Arabidopsis thaliana: one gene and its partner. The protein of the gene in region 2 purifies or fractionates together with the protein of the main gene of each other region. This does not show direct contact. Each region holds a gene or a part of one and is shown on either strand. Other genes may lie near its edges.

Region 1 (4,866 bases), on a different chromosome or scaffold from region 2:
GAGTAAATGGTGATTTAAGAGCAGAAGTGGTTGTCGTTTCCTTTACAGGAAAAGGAACGACATGAATTTCAGTGCCAAAAAGATTGAAATGGTGGTTAGGAGTCAGGCTTCAGTCTCTCTCACCTGACTCTTCACTCACTTCCATGATTTCCTTCCTTCTCTCCTTTTTCACTTTTCTTACTCCATCCTATTCCTTCTTTAAAGCCACACACTCTCTCTTTCTCATCTCACCTCAATACGTGATCTCCTTGATTTACATTTTTTTTTTTAACAAAATCTTTTTGTTCATTAGGAAAGAAGAAATAAGCAAAAAAATTAAGGATAAAGTATATGGAACTTGTTTTTCCAATCTAACTTACCTAAATTTGTATAGGCAAACTCCGTAAATCCAATAAAAGTCCCATACATGAATTAGGAAACAATTTATCCCGCATTATCTGCGGATAGAAAACAAGAAACAGAAAGTTGATATTTGATTGAGTATATTTAAATGAGAGAATATCGTATTTTCGATTTTATATATATATATATATATATATATATGTAATGTTAAGGAAATATATTAAGACATAATAGTATACTTATACTTGTTTAAAATGAGAGAACCCGTAGTTTATGTATATATTTTTTTTTTATAACAAAAATATGTTAACCAAAATTTAATTAAAAAATATGTTATCAAAATTCATAAAATGTTGAAAATCTACAACTAAACATTTGTTACGTCGGAGTTGGAAGTATCGCCTTTCCGTTTAATCTTTTACCAAAATCTCCGGTGGGTTCTATTTTGTTCAACCGCATTCGCCTCATAGTATCTTCAACCCCTTTCGTAGAAAACTGCTTCTATCCCTAACATCACAACTCTAAGCTCACCTAGTCAAACGCAATAGTTTCGGATTGCTAAAAAACAAACAAAAAAACAAAAAACAAGAAATTATCAAAAGAGATGGACGACGTGTGAACGTTGTTGGACTGCTCTCAAGCCCATGGACCACAATAATTTTAAAGACAAGAAGAAAAACTTGCTTTAAATTATCATACGCATGCCAATTAATTCGGTCCCAACACCATCTATAAATCTGTAAAAAGTAAGCAAATTGAGTAAGAAATTCCATAATGTGGCTGAATAAGAAAAACAAGGTTTTCAAGATTGATTTGCCAATATTAGGATAGGGGGTTCTTGAAGATAAGTTGATATTCTACAAAACATGTAAAGCAAGCAAAACTTTGACTTAAAACATTTGAATGCAAACCATGTGCCACAATATAAAATCCATGTGATAGTGATGATATTAAGAAAAATTTAAAGGGTGGAGTCAAAATCTTGGCTTCCTAAGAGGTTTCAACGTCTGAGAGATCTTCTCGGTAAAGCTCTGACAGATCTTCTCTGTAAAGCTCAAAGTCACTAGGGCTCCATCTGCAGAGCAAGTTCAGCTTGAAAGTAGCCATCTTCATTCGCAATAGACGCTGCAAAGTAAACAAACAAGTATAAGAAATAAAGCATACAAATTAAAAGGAAAGGGTTTTGGTATACAGAAGTCTTATTACCAAAATGTGGGCTGATTTTGGCGAAAGTTGTTTTCCTTCTTCACAAACTACAAAGTCAGCGACCAACTCCACAGTACCTACATATTAAAATAAGAAGAAGAAATAAGTTTTTGGATTAATATAGATAGCAAAAGTGAGTATGAGAAAGAGGAATATTAAGATGGTGAGACGACAGACCTTTGTTTAGTCGTACAGGCATTTCAAGCTTCCGAAGAAGTGGTTCCATCTCATGTGTGAACTGTTCTAGAGGACCTTCCTTCAGTTCAACCTAATCATTTAGGTGGTACCAATATAGTAATTAAGATAAAAGTAACGAAACAAAGTTTTTTAAATAACAAAGAGAAGCAGAGCCTGATCATAGTCAAGCTTATTTATTTATCTAGAAACAACAGTATATAGAGATGGCACAAGTTCTGTTCACAAACCGTTTCTACTGCAATGCTTCCGGTCCTTGAAAAGTCGGAATCCTCATAAGCGTTAAATAAGCTGCAATACACAACCAGAAGAAGTATTGTGAACAGTTACAACAACTAGACATGTATACAATTCAAACCCGTCACTGTTGTTTCACCAAAGCAAAAGAGGAAAAAAGAGGACGTCAAGAGATACATAGATAGATACCTTTCGACTTCTTCCTTTGGCATATCAGTAACAAGAAGTCCAGTATCACCACGAAGCAGCTGAAACAACATTCCACAACATATGTAAATCTAACTGACAAAAAATGACCATTTAACATAAAAGAACCATTGTAAGAAGCAGAATACACAAACCTTGGAGACTTTGTAGATACCAGAACGGAGTTCATCTTCTGCAGAACGACCAAGAGCAACCTGCATCACTTTGTTCGAACCTAGGAAGAACCTAGACAAATAAGAACCGAGTCAGTCATAACATTCAAGTAATTCTAACATCAACCAGAAGAAGGACAAAGAAACTAACTTTCCATTGTGCCTAAACTGCTGCCTAAACTCCTTGAATTTGATATTTCTCATGTTTTCAAAAGAGAAAACATAGACAGAGGAATATTTTTCAACAGCCTCCCTAATTCCATTCACAATACACTCCTTATGCTCTCTTCCTTTCTTCTTCGTCTTAGACAAAGTCACTGCAGCAAAAAATCAGAAAACAAAACCCTTAGATAAACCATTCATCAATCGATTCAACCATAGAAGCTATGAAAAAACATTACTAACTCCAACAAGTTAAAGTTTTTTTCAAAAGGGTTCCTCTAAAAACCTAACAAAACCCTAAAACCCTTGACGGCGGCTACAAAAGTTACAGCTTCCAAAACCAGTGACAGAGATACAATGGTTCAGACAATAGAGAGCAGAAAGAGTGAAGGAAGAAGAGTTCTAACCTGGTCTATCTCGCTTTGATTTAGGCATAGCTGAGGTTTCAAATGTTGTATGGAAGTGAGAGGAACGAAAGTGAAGGAGAACGGCTTCTGTTTATTAAGCTCCTTTCAATTTTCTTCAGGGAAACTGAAACCCTTGTTCCCTTGTTTGCTTTAATTCGCACTTTTTAATCTGGACCCCTAATTCAACCCGATCCGGATCCGGCCCGTTTCAGGCCTTTTAGCTATCAGAAATCTGGGCCGATTTTTTTTTGTCATTGGAGGGTGTACTAGTTTAAATTTAAATGGATTATAGTGTTTTTAGTTTTTTTTGTTTTGTTGTGCAAAAGTTTTTAAGTTAAGAAATTAAAGTTTTAAATTTAATGTTATAAAAATTAATTAAAAAGTGGTACTTTCAAAATCATATTATTAAACCTCTTAATAATGAATTATAAATTATTTATATGAATGCTCGGAAATTAAACAATGTAAACGTATAGGGAACAATAGGAACAACCATTAGTAGTGAGTAGTGATCTCACTACTGGCAATTTGTTCGAGACTAAGGGGATGGGTCCACTCATTTGTAGAAGTCCTCAACCCTTCTCATGCTCGTAGTAGTCGCCGTGGCTTGTGTTTTGTTCTTGGACGAGAAGTTTATTTGGGAAGGTAAAAGACAATTTATTTATTAAGATTTGATAATATTTATAAGCATACACTATATTATTGTTTTCAAATTGAAGTGTACTTGAAGCAATATATTTATTTTTATTTTTACTAGGAGCAATATTGATTGTATGTGGGCTATATATATGTCGTGCTATATGGCGAAAAGATCAAGAGATGAGTGGAATTAGTTCCGTCGGGGGAATTAAAAAAACACACAAAAATCGCTCGAGATTGTTATAGCTAGTGGTATTGATAGTGGCTCGATCTATGGCATAAAAGAAAATGATGGAAAATATATGACATTCAATTGGGGTATCATAACGTTCTCTAGAGGTTTTTTTGTGTGTGAAATTTTAATTGGGTCAGTATGAATATAACTTTTTTTCTTTCTCATTCTTATAATATGTATGTATGAATTGATACTTGGTTTTCACTTTTGGTCGTATCATCTTTATGCAAGTCACATGAAAGAGAGCAGAAGAATGGAAAGAGAATCCAAGCCCAAAACTTCCACATTTGGATCTTTACCAAGTGTATTTGGCTTTACGTACGCATGTTGCTTACTGACAATAATGATATACGAGCCTTTTTCTTTCTTTTGGAGTTCTTGTGTGTGGCAAAGCCATCGCGGAAAAGCCACAAAGCATGCTTAGCACGTGTCAACGTCAACCTAATATGTTACTTTTATTTATATCTTGTTTAACTTCACAATTATGTTTTAATAAATGTTAATAGCACCGAGCATGTTTCTGCATTGTCATTTTGGCTCATATAGTAAAACGCATTACCGTTCGTATAAGAATGTGTGGCATCGATGTAAATGTATAATAGTTTTCTTGTCATGTTATAACAAATGCTTTTGCAAAAAAAAAAGATTCTTTTGCAGTGAAACGCTCTTGAAAGCTTGTGGAGCTCCTTTCATAGAACGACAATAAACAGTTTCGTCTTATTTTTGCATTACGTCTTCACTTTGTATTCTGTTTTCCCTTTGATCATGAATATACATTTCAACACATAAACTCTTTTGTTTTTCTTTTCTTTTGTCTACAAGAAGGTTAATCCTTCCAAACTTTGCTACTTTAGTAACGAGTTTCCAGAAACAAATATTTGAATCTCACATCTTCCTATATCATGAGCTAGGAGGATTGGACAGTTAATACAATTGAAGTGGAGCACAATGAAAAAGGTATAGAGGTAGAATTAAAGACGAAAACACCTTGGCTACATAAATAGAGCTGATCATGAGCTAACAGGATTGGATAGTTAATAGTTAGAGACTTAGAGTGGGTATCAAAGTAGAAATCAGAAACTGT
Region 2 (5,756 bases):
ACAATCTTCCCACTGTTTTCGAAAATAATAATACGATGATGGTTGGTATCAGAAAGAAACAGACGGTCTCCAACTTCGTCTGCAGAGATACAACCTGTCACAGAGAATGTCAATTGTTAAATAAAAAAACAAAATTTTATTCCAAATTTTTGTGAGCAAAATATTAGAGAGTAGCGTGAAAGACAAAAATGAAAATTCCTGATAAATTTCAAAAAGACCAAAAAAGAAAGAAAATTAAAGAGACATACCTGGAAAGTAAAGTAACAAATCCTGAAAGAAAGAAGGGAAATGTGATTCCTTGATAGCCTCTGCTTGTTTTGACCAAGTGTTCGTGAAAAGTCTGACAGACTTGGATTTCTCAGTATCTTGAGTGAGGAGGCTGTCAAGAGCTGCAGCAAAGCGCAAGAAAAAGAAACCAGAATATGTATTAAGCACACAAATCACGAGATAGAAGGCTGAAGCGACGAATATTCACAAGCTAAAAGTAGCATAATGAATTTCTGTTTTCTCTTAAGTTGAACATGGAACAATAAGTATGACATTGTAGAGACTATTTGTAGTGAATATATGATAATAAAGTAGGCATACCTTTAACTACAGAAGCAATATCAAGATCCTTCTCTTCGTAGATTAGAGGATTCTTAAAATCTTTAAACACGATGTAACGTACTTCCCCACTTGTCTGATACAAGTAGAAAACAGCACACCTTCAATTGAAATCGAGGTATATGCACATAACATGAGGGAATGATATACAAAGAAGTAATCTACAGCGACATTTCTTGGACATAACAATATATACCTTGGGAAATTCTTTTTCGGAAAGTAGCACAGGAAAAGTGAGGTATTCCTTCAAAATCAACTCAGCTAGAGCAGTTCGATCATCAGCGATTCGAGCTTGATCACTGAAGTGGATGCCCATGAAACAGACACCCGGAGACCTGAAAAGTCAAAACAAATACTTAGCCGTAATTGCCGTTAAGTTACCATTATTCTTTGGTTTAACAAAAATAAAAGCTTTCTTAAACCTCTGCTGAAGCAACTTTAGTTTCTCAAAGAAACCACTCAGATCACTTGTTCCGTCTAGCAAATGTCCAGCTAGAACTACATAAGTTCCTTTGTCCTTGAAAAGCTGTTTATTCCCAAAGTCTCGATTCAACCAATGATGGGAAGGACCTAAGAGTTCATTTTCAAAACGTTGTTTACAACACAAAGAGATGTTTCAAGCCAATACAAAAAGATGTAAGAATCAGTATACAGTCAGTTACCTTCAAGTTTATCAAGTGAAGCTTTAATAAAAGAGAGCAAATCAACATGTGGAGAGGAAGGAGAAGAAGAAGAAGAAGAAGAAGCTCGAGATACTCGTCGTACTGATGCAAATCTGAAAGAGACTGTCCAGGACGAATTAGAAAGAGACCATGAAAACACCTGTCCAAGTAATTAAGATTATAAATCGAATTACCCGCGAGAGAAACGTTGTTCGACCAATGTCTTGGATCCAATGTTCATGTCTCCATCGAGTGAAGGAGCTAAACAAGTGGCTGGAGTAGTGATTGATCGGCGAAATCGACCGTGAACATTGTCTAGTGAGCAAAACGACAACCAAAAAAGATCGTTAAGAACGCTTAAACAGTGGGAACCCAGAAAGCTAGAATCGAAGAAGACGATCAAAATTCGGAAACCTGAGAGAATCCGAGAAGAAAGCCATGATATTTTCTTCAAATGGAGGCTTCTGTTAGACATTTCTGTATGGTGGGCTTCACTTGTTTGTCCTAAGCTAAACGAATTTCAGGTTTTGGAAGGGTTTAACCGCCAGCACCGGAGCCCGGCGGGATCTTAAGGGAAAAAAACTCAAGACTTTCAGGTGACTGGTCCAAGTCAAGGTTATTATGACTTTGGATAACGAATGTCAATTGAAGTTAATTACATAATCAGTAAAGATTACTAACATCGGGGTGGTGGCGCAGTTGGCTAGCGCGTAGGTCTCATAGCTATCTGAGTAATCCTGAGGTCGAGAGTTCGAGCCTCTCTCACCCCAATTATTTTTTCAATATTTTTAAGTTGATTCGGGTCAACTATAACGGGTCGGGTAATGATCCAAGTACATCTAATAGCAAAACCCTAATTTGGCGCCGATATGTCCATCTTCCTTCTCCATAAACCCTTTTCTTTTAACCTACTCAGTTTTTCTGTTTGCGTCGCTCTCATCCCAGGGCGAGAAAGATGGTGAAACGGAGTAAAAGTAAGATACATCCTTCAATCATATTGATATTCTGGATCTGTCTTATTGAATGAATTTGAATCATATCATTCAGTTCAGGATTCCTACTGGGGTTTTATTGATTGGTTTGATGGTTTTTTGCAGAGAGTAAGAGTAAGAGGGTGACCTTGAAGCAGAAGCATAAGGTCCTGAAAAAGGTGAAGGAGCACCACAAGAAGAAGGCAAAGGATGCTAAAAAGCTTGGCCTTCACCGTAAGCCAAGAGTAGAGAAAGACCCAGGTATACCCAATGACTGGCCTTTCAAGGAACAAGAGCTTAAAGCCCTTGAAGTTCGACGTGCCCGTGCTCTTGAGGAGATTGAACAGAAGAAAGAAGCTCGCAAAGAAAGGGTAATCTCATTCTTTTAACATTGTAACTCACAGCTATGATACATGTTCAGATATTTAGTAATCATATAACTTTAAGTTCAGGTCGAAATTCTTAAAGCTATTTCCTTTGTGTTCTGAGTTTTGATTGATTGATAAAAGATTGCATTTTTCATGTCTTGCTGTTTGATTTACTCGTATTTTGGAGTGGTGCTTGTGTTCTGATCTCTCCTAATAAATCTATTCAGGCCAAAAAGAGGAAACTTGGTTTGGTTGATGATGAGGATACCAAGACAGAAGGAGAGACCATAGAGGACTTACCTAAAGTTGTCAATGTTCGAGGTGAGTTGTTTTGGATACCTTCTTCACGCGTTTATGTGCTTTCTCTCTGCCTTTACATGCACTAATGTCTTTTGTTTCACAGATAACTCGGAGAGGGCTTTCTACAAGGAGCTAGTTAAAGTCATTGAATTGTCTGATGTCATTTTGGAGGTTCTTGATGCCCGTGATCCTCTTGGCACTCGTTGTACTGACATGGAGAGGATGGTGATGCAAGCCGGTCCCAATAAGCATCTTGTGTTGCTGCTGAACAAGATTGGTAAGTTCATATATTCAGTCTTTACTCGTGGACGTAATAAGTTGTTTGTTTACTCTGGGTGGTGTAATTAATTTTTGTAACTGATTCACTCTCTCCAGATCTTGTTCCCCGAGAGGCTGCTGAGAAATGGCTTATGTACCTTAGGGAAGAATTTCCAGCTGTTGCCTTCAAGTGTAGCACCCAGGAACAGAGATCAAACTTGGGTTGGAAATCATCTAAGGCATCAAAACCAAGCAATATGTTGCAGACGAGTGATTGTCTTGGAGCAGACACTCTTATCAAATTGTTGAAGAACTACTCAAGAAGTCATGAGGTTGGTTCCATAGTTTAAACTTTAATCATCCTACCTTAGCATCAAGTTATATCATTCAGTTTCAATTAAATCTTCCTTTGTTGTTCTTTGGCAGTTAAAAAAATCTATCACAGTTGGTATTATTGGACTGCCTAATGTCGGCAAGAGTAGTCTTATTAACAGTCTGAAGAGAGCGCATGTTGTCAATGTTGGTGCCACTCCTGGACTGACTAGATCTCTGCAAGAGGTTCACTTGGACAAAAACGTGAAGTTGCTGGATTGTCCTGGAGTTGTGATGTTGAAATCATCAGGAAATGATGCTTCCATAGCTCTCCGAAATTGTAAAAGAATCGAGAAGTTGGATGACCCAGTTAGTCCAGGTAATTGGATATAAGCTCAAGATAGAATCACACTTATTTTTGTGCTTTGTCTTTTAAAGGTTATAATCTGAGTGACCTAACTTGGAAATCTTCTGCTTTGTGAAAAAAATAGTGAAGGAAATTCTCAAGCTTTGTCCTAAAGATATGCTGGTGACTCTCTACAAAATCCCGAGCTTCGAGGCAGTTGATGATTTCCTTTACAAAGTCGCCACTGTAAGGGGTAAACTTAAAAAGGGTGGTCTTGTGGATATTGATGCTGCTGCCAGAATTGTTTTGCATGACTGGAATGAAGGTGCGGATCTTTTTTTGTTCCTCGTAAACTTGAAGCGTAAAAGCATTTTTGAAAACCAGTTTCTTAACTCATCATTGTCTCTAATATGAATGGTTATGCAGGTAAAATCCCATACTATACAATGCCGCCAAAGAGGGACCAGGGTGGACATGCAGAGTCAAAGATTGTGACTGAGCTGGCCAAGGATTTCAACATCGATGAGGTTTACAGTGGTGAATCCTCTTTCATTGGGAGCTTGAAGACGGTTAACGAATTCAACCCTGTTATTATTCCTTCAAATGGTCCTCTCAATTTCGATGAAACTATGATCGAGGTTGGTAACTTCTCTCGTGATTCCATTTGCTTGTAAATGACTCGGTCTGGATTTAATCTTTGTTTATGATGATGTATCACAAAAAAAAAAAACAGGATGAGTCTAAGACGCAGACGGAAGAGGAGGCTGAGCATGAGAGTGATGATGATGAGTCAATGGGAGGGGAGGAGGAGGAAGAGGCAGGAAAGACGAAGGAGAAATCAGAGACGGGGAGGCAGAACGTGAAGCTATACGCAGCGGAAAGCATGTTGAATACAAAGAAACAGAAAGCAGAGAAGAAGAAGAGGAAGAAAGCAAAGAAAGCAGGAGCTGATGAGGAGGATCTGATGGACGGAGATTATGATTTCAAAGTGGATTATAGGAAGAACAAAGATGGAGAAGACGAAGAATTCCAGATTGATGCTAAAATCCCAATGGCTGGACTTTTGCCTGAAGAATGAGTGATTGGAAACCACAACGTTTTTTTTTTTTTTTTTTTTTGTATTTGGCGTTTATGAGTCGGTCGGTTAAACTTTCTGATATATGTGCTTCATGAACTAGTAGTAATACTGAAGCGATTTTGATTTCTTTAATTAACGTTTCTTCTATTCCAATTCTGCTTTGCTTAACAAATATCTTAAGAACATTCAAAAATCATTGAGGTAAGTGTACTTCTTCGCCCTTCAGAAGAAAGTAATAATCTTTTACCCTTTCAGTTTCAGGTAACGAATGACGAAAACAACACCCGAGTTCAGTACATCAGATTTCTCTGTCTCTCTCTTGGAACTTCCAAACTCGACCATATCCGTCAAATTGAATTCCAAGTTGCAAATGTGAAAGCAGTTTAAACCCGTGTTGACTTTAACGCAAGTAAAGGACGTTGACTTTGTTGAGGTCCTTAAGGATAATTGATCAAAATGTTATGTGGCAGGCATGTAAGGTGTGAACCGAAAGCTTGGCTTTGCTCAAATTCAGCAAGTTCACCAAGAGAAACTAAATCAGTGAAGGAAAAAAGGTTCAAGCGAGACTCTGAGGAAGATGGCTTCGGCTACTGTTGATTTTGGGATCGGACGGATTCTTAGTGTCCTGGAAAACGAGACCTTGTTATTGTCAGGAGTCCATGGTGAGATTGATAAAATGAAGAAGGAGTTGCTGATCATGAAGTCCTTTCTTGAGGATACTCATAAACATGGTGGAAATGGATCCACAACAACAACAACTCAACTCTTCCAAACTTTTGTGGCAAACACGAGAGATTTGGCTTACCAAATCGAAGACATTCTCGACGAGTTTGGCTATCACATCCACGGTTATCG

The links.
Region 1: the proteins of NSN1 (region 2) and AT1G25260 fractionate together in Arabidopsis thaliana (co-fractionation; one large-scale study listed by BioGRID). This does not show direct contact.

What each region holds. Positions count from the first base shown.
Region 1 is NC_003070.9:8,852,831-8,857,696, forward strand, and holds AT1G25260 (Ribosomal protein L10 family protein), read right to left. Parts: upstream 3,045-4,866; 5' UTR 2,937-3,044; coding exon 2,909-2,936; intron 2,657-2,908; coding exon 2,491-2,656; intron 2,413-2,490; coding exon 2,322-2,412; intron 2,229-2,321; coding exon 2,170-2,228; intron 2,035-2,169; coding exon 1,974-2,034; intron 1,817-1,973; coding exon 1,726-1,816; intron 1,626-1,725; coding exon 1,549-1,625; intron 1,468-1,548; coding exon 1,333-1,467; 3' UTR 704-1,332; downstream 1-703.
Region 2 is NC_003074.8:2,228,747-2,234,502, reverse strand, and holds NSN1 (GTP-binding family protein), read left to right. Parts: upstream 1-2,141; 5' UTR 2,142-2,223; coding exon 2,224-2,242; intron 2,243-2,365; coding exon 2,366-2,610; intron 2,611-2,834; coding exon 2,835-2,928; intron 2,929-3,010; coding exon 3,011-3,184; intron 3,185-3,282; coding exon 3,283-3,497; intron 3,498-3,591; coding exon 3,592-3,856; intron 3,857-3,968; coding exon 3,969-4,148; intron 4,149-4,249; coding exon 4,250-4,461; intron 4,462-4,556; coding exon 4,557-4,901; 3' UTR 4,902-5,148; downstream 5,149-5,756. Other genes in the region: emb1974 (NHL domain-containing protein), read right to left, coding at 1-94, 249-389, 589-682, 803-941, 1,029-1,176, 1,269-1,381, 1,463-1,583, 1,683-1,743; RPM1 (NB-ARC domain-containing disease resistance protein), read left to right, coding at 5,479-5,756. UniProt on the Arabidopsis thaliana protein: Involved in the differentiation of epidermal cells, probably via the regulation of the expression of meristem-related genes (e.g. CLV3, STM, KNAT1, CUC2 and AG) and of leaf polarity-related genes (e.g. YAB5, FIL, AS2, PHB and PHV).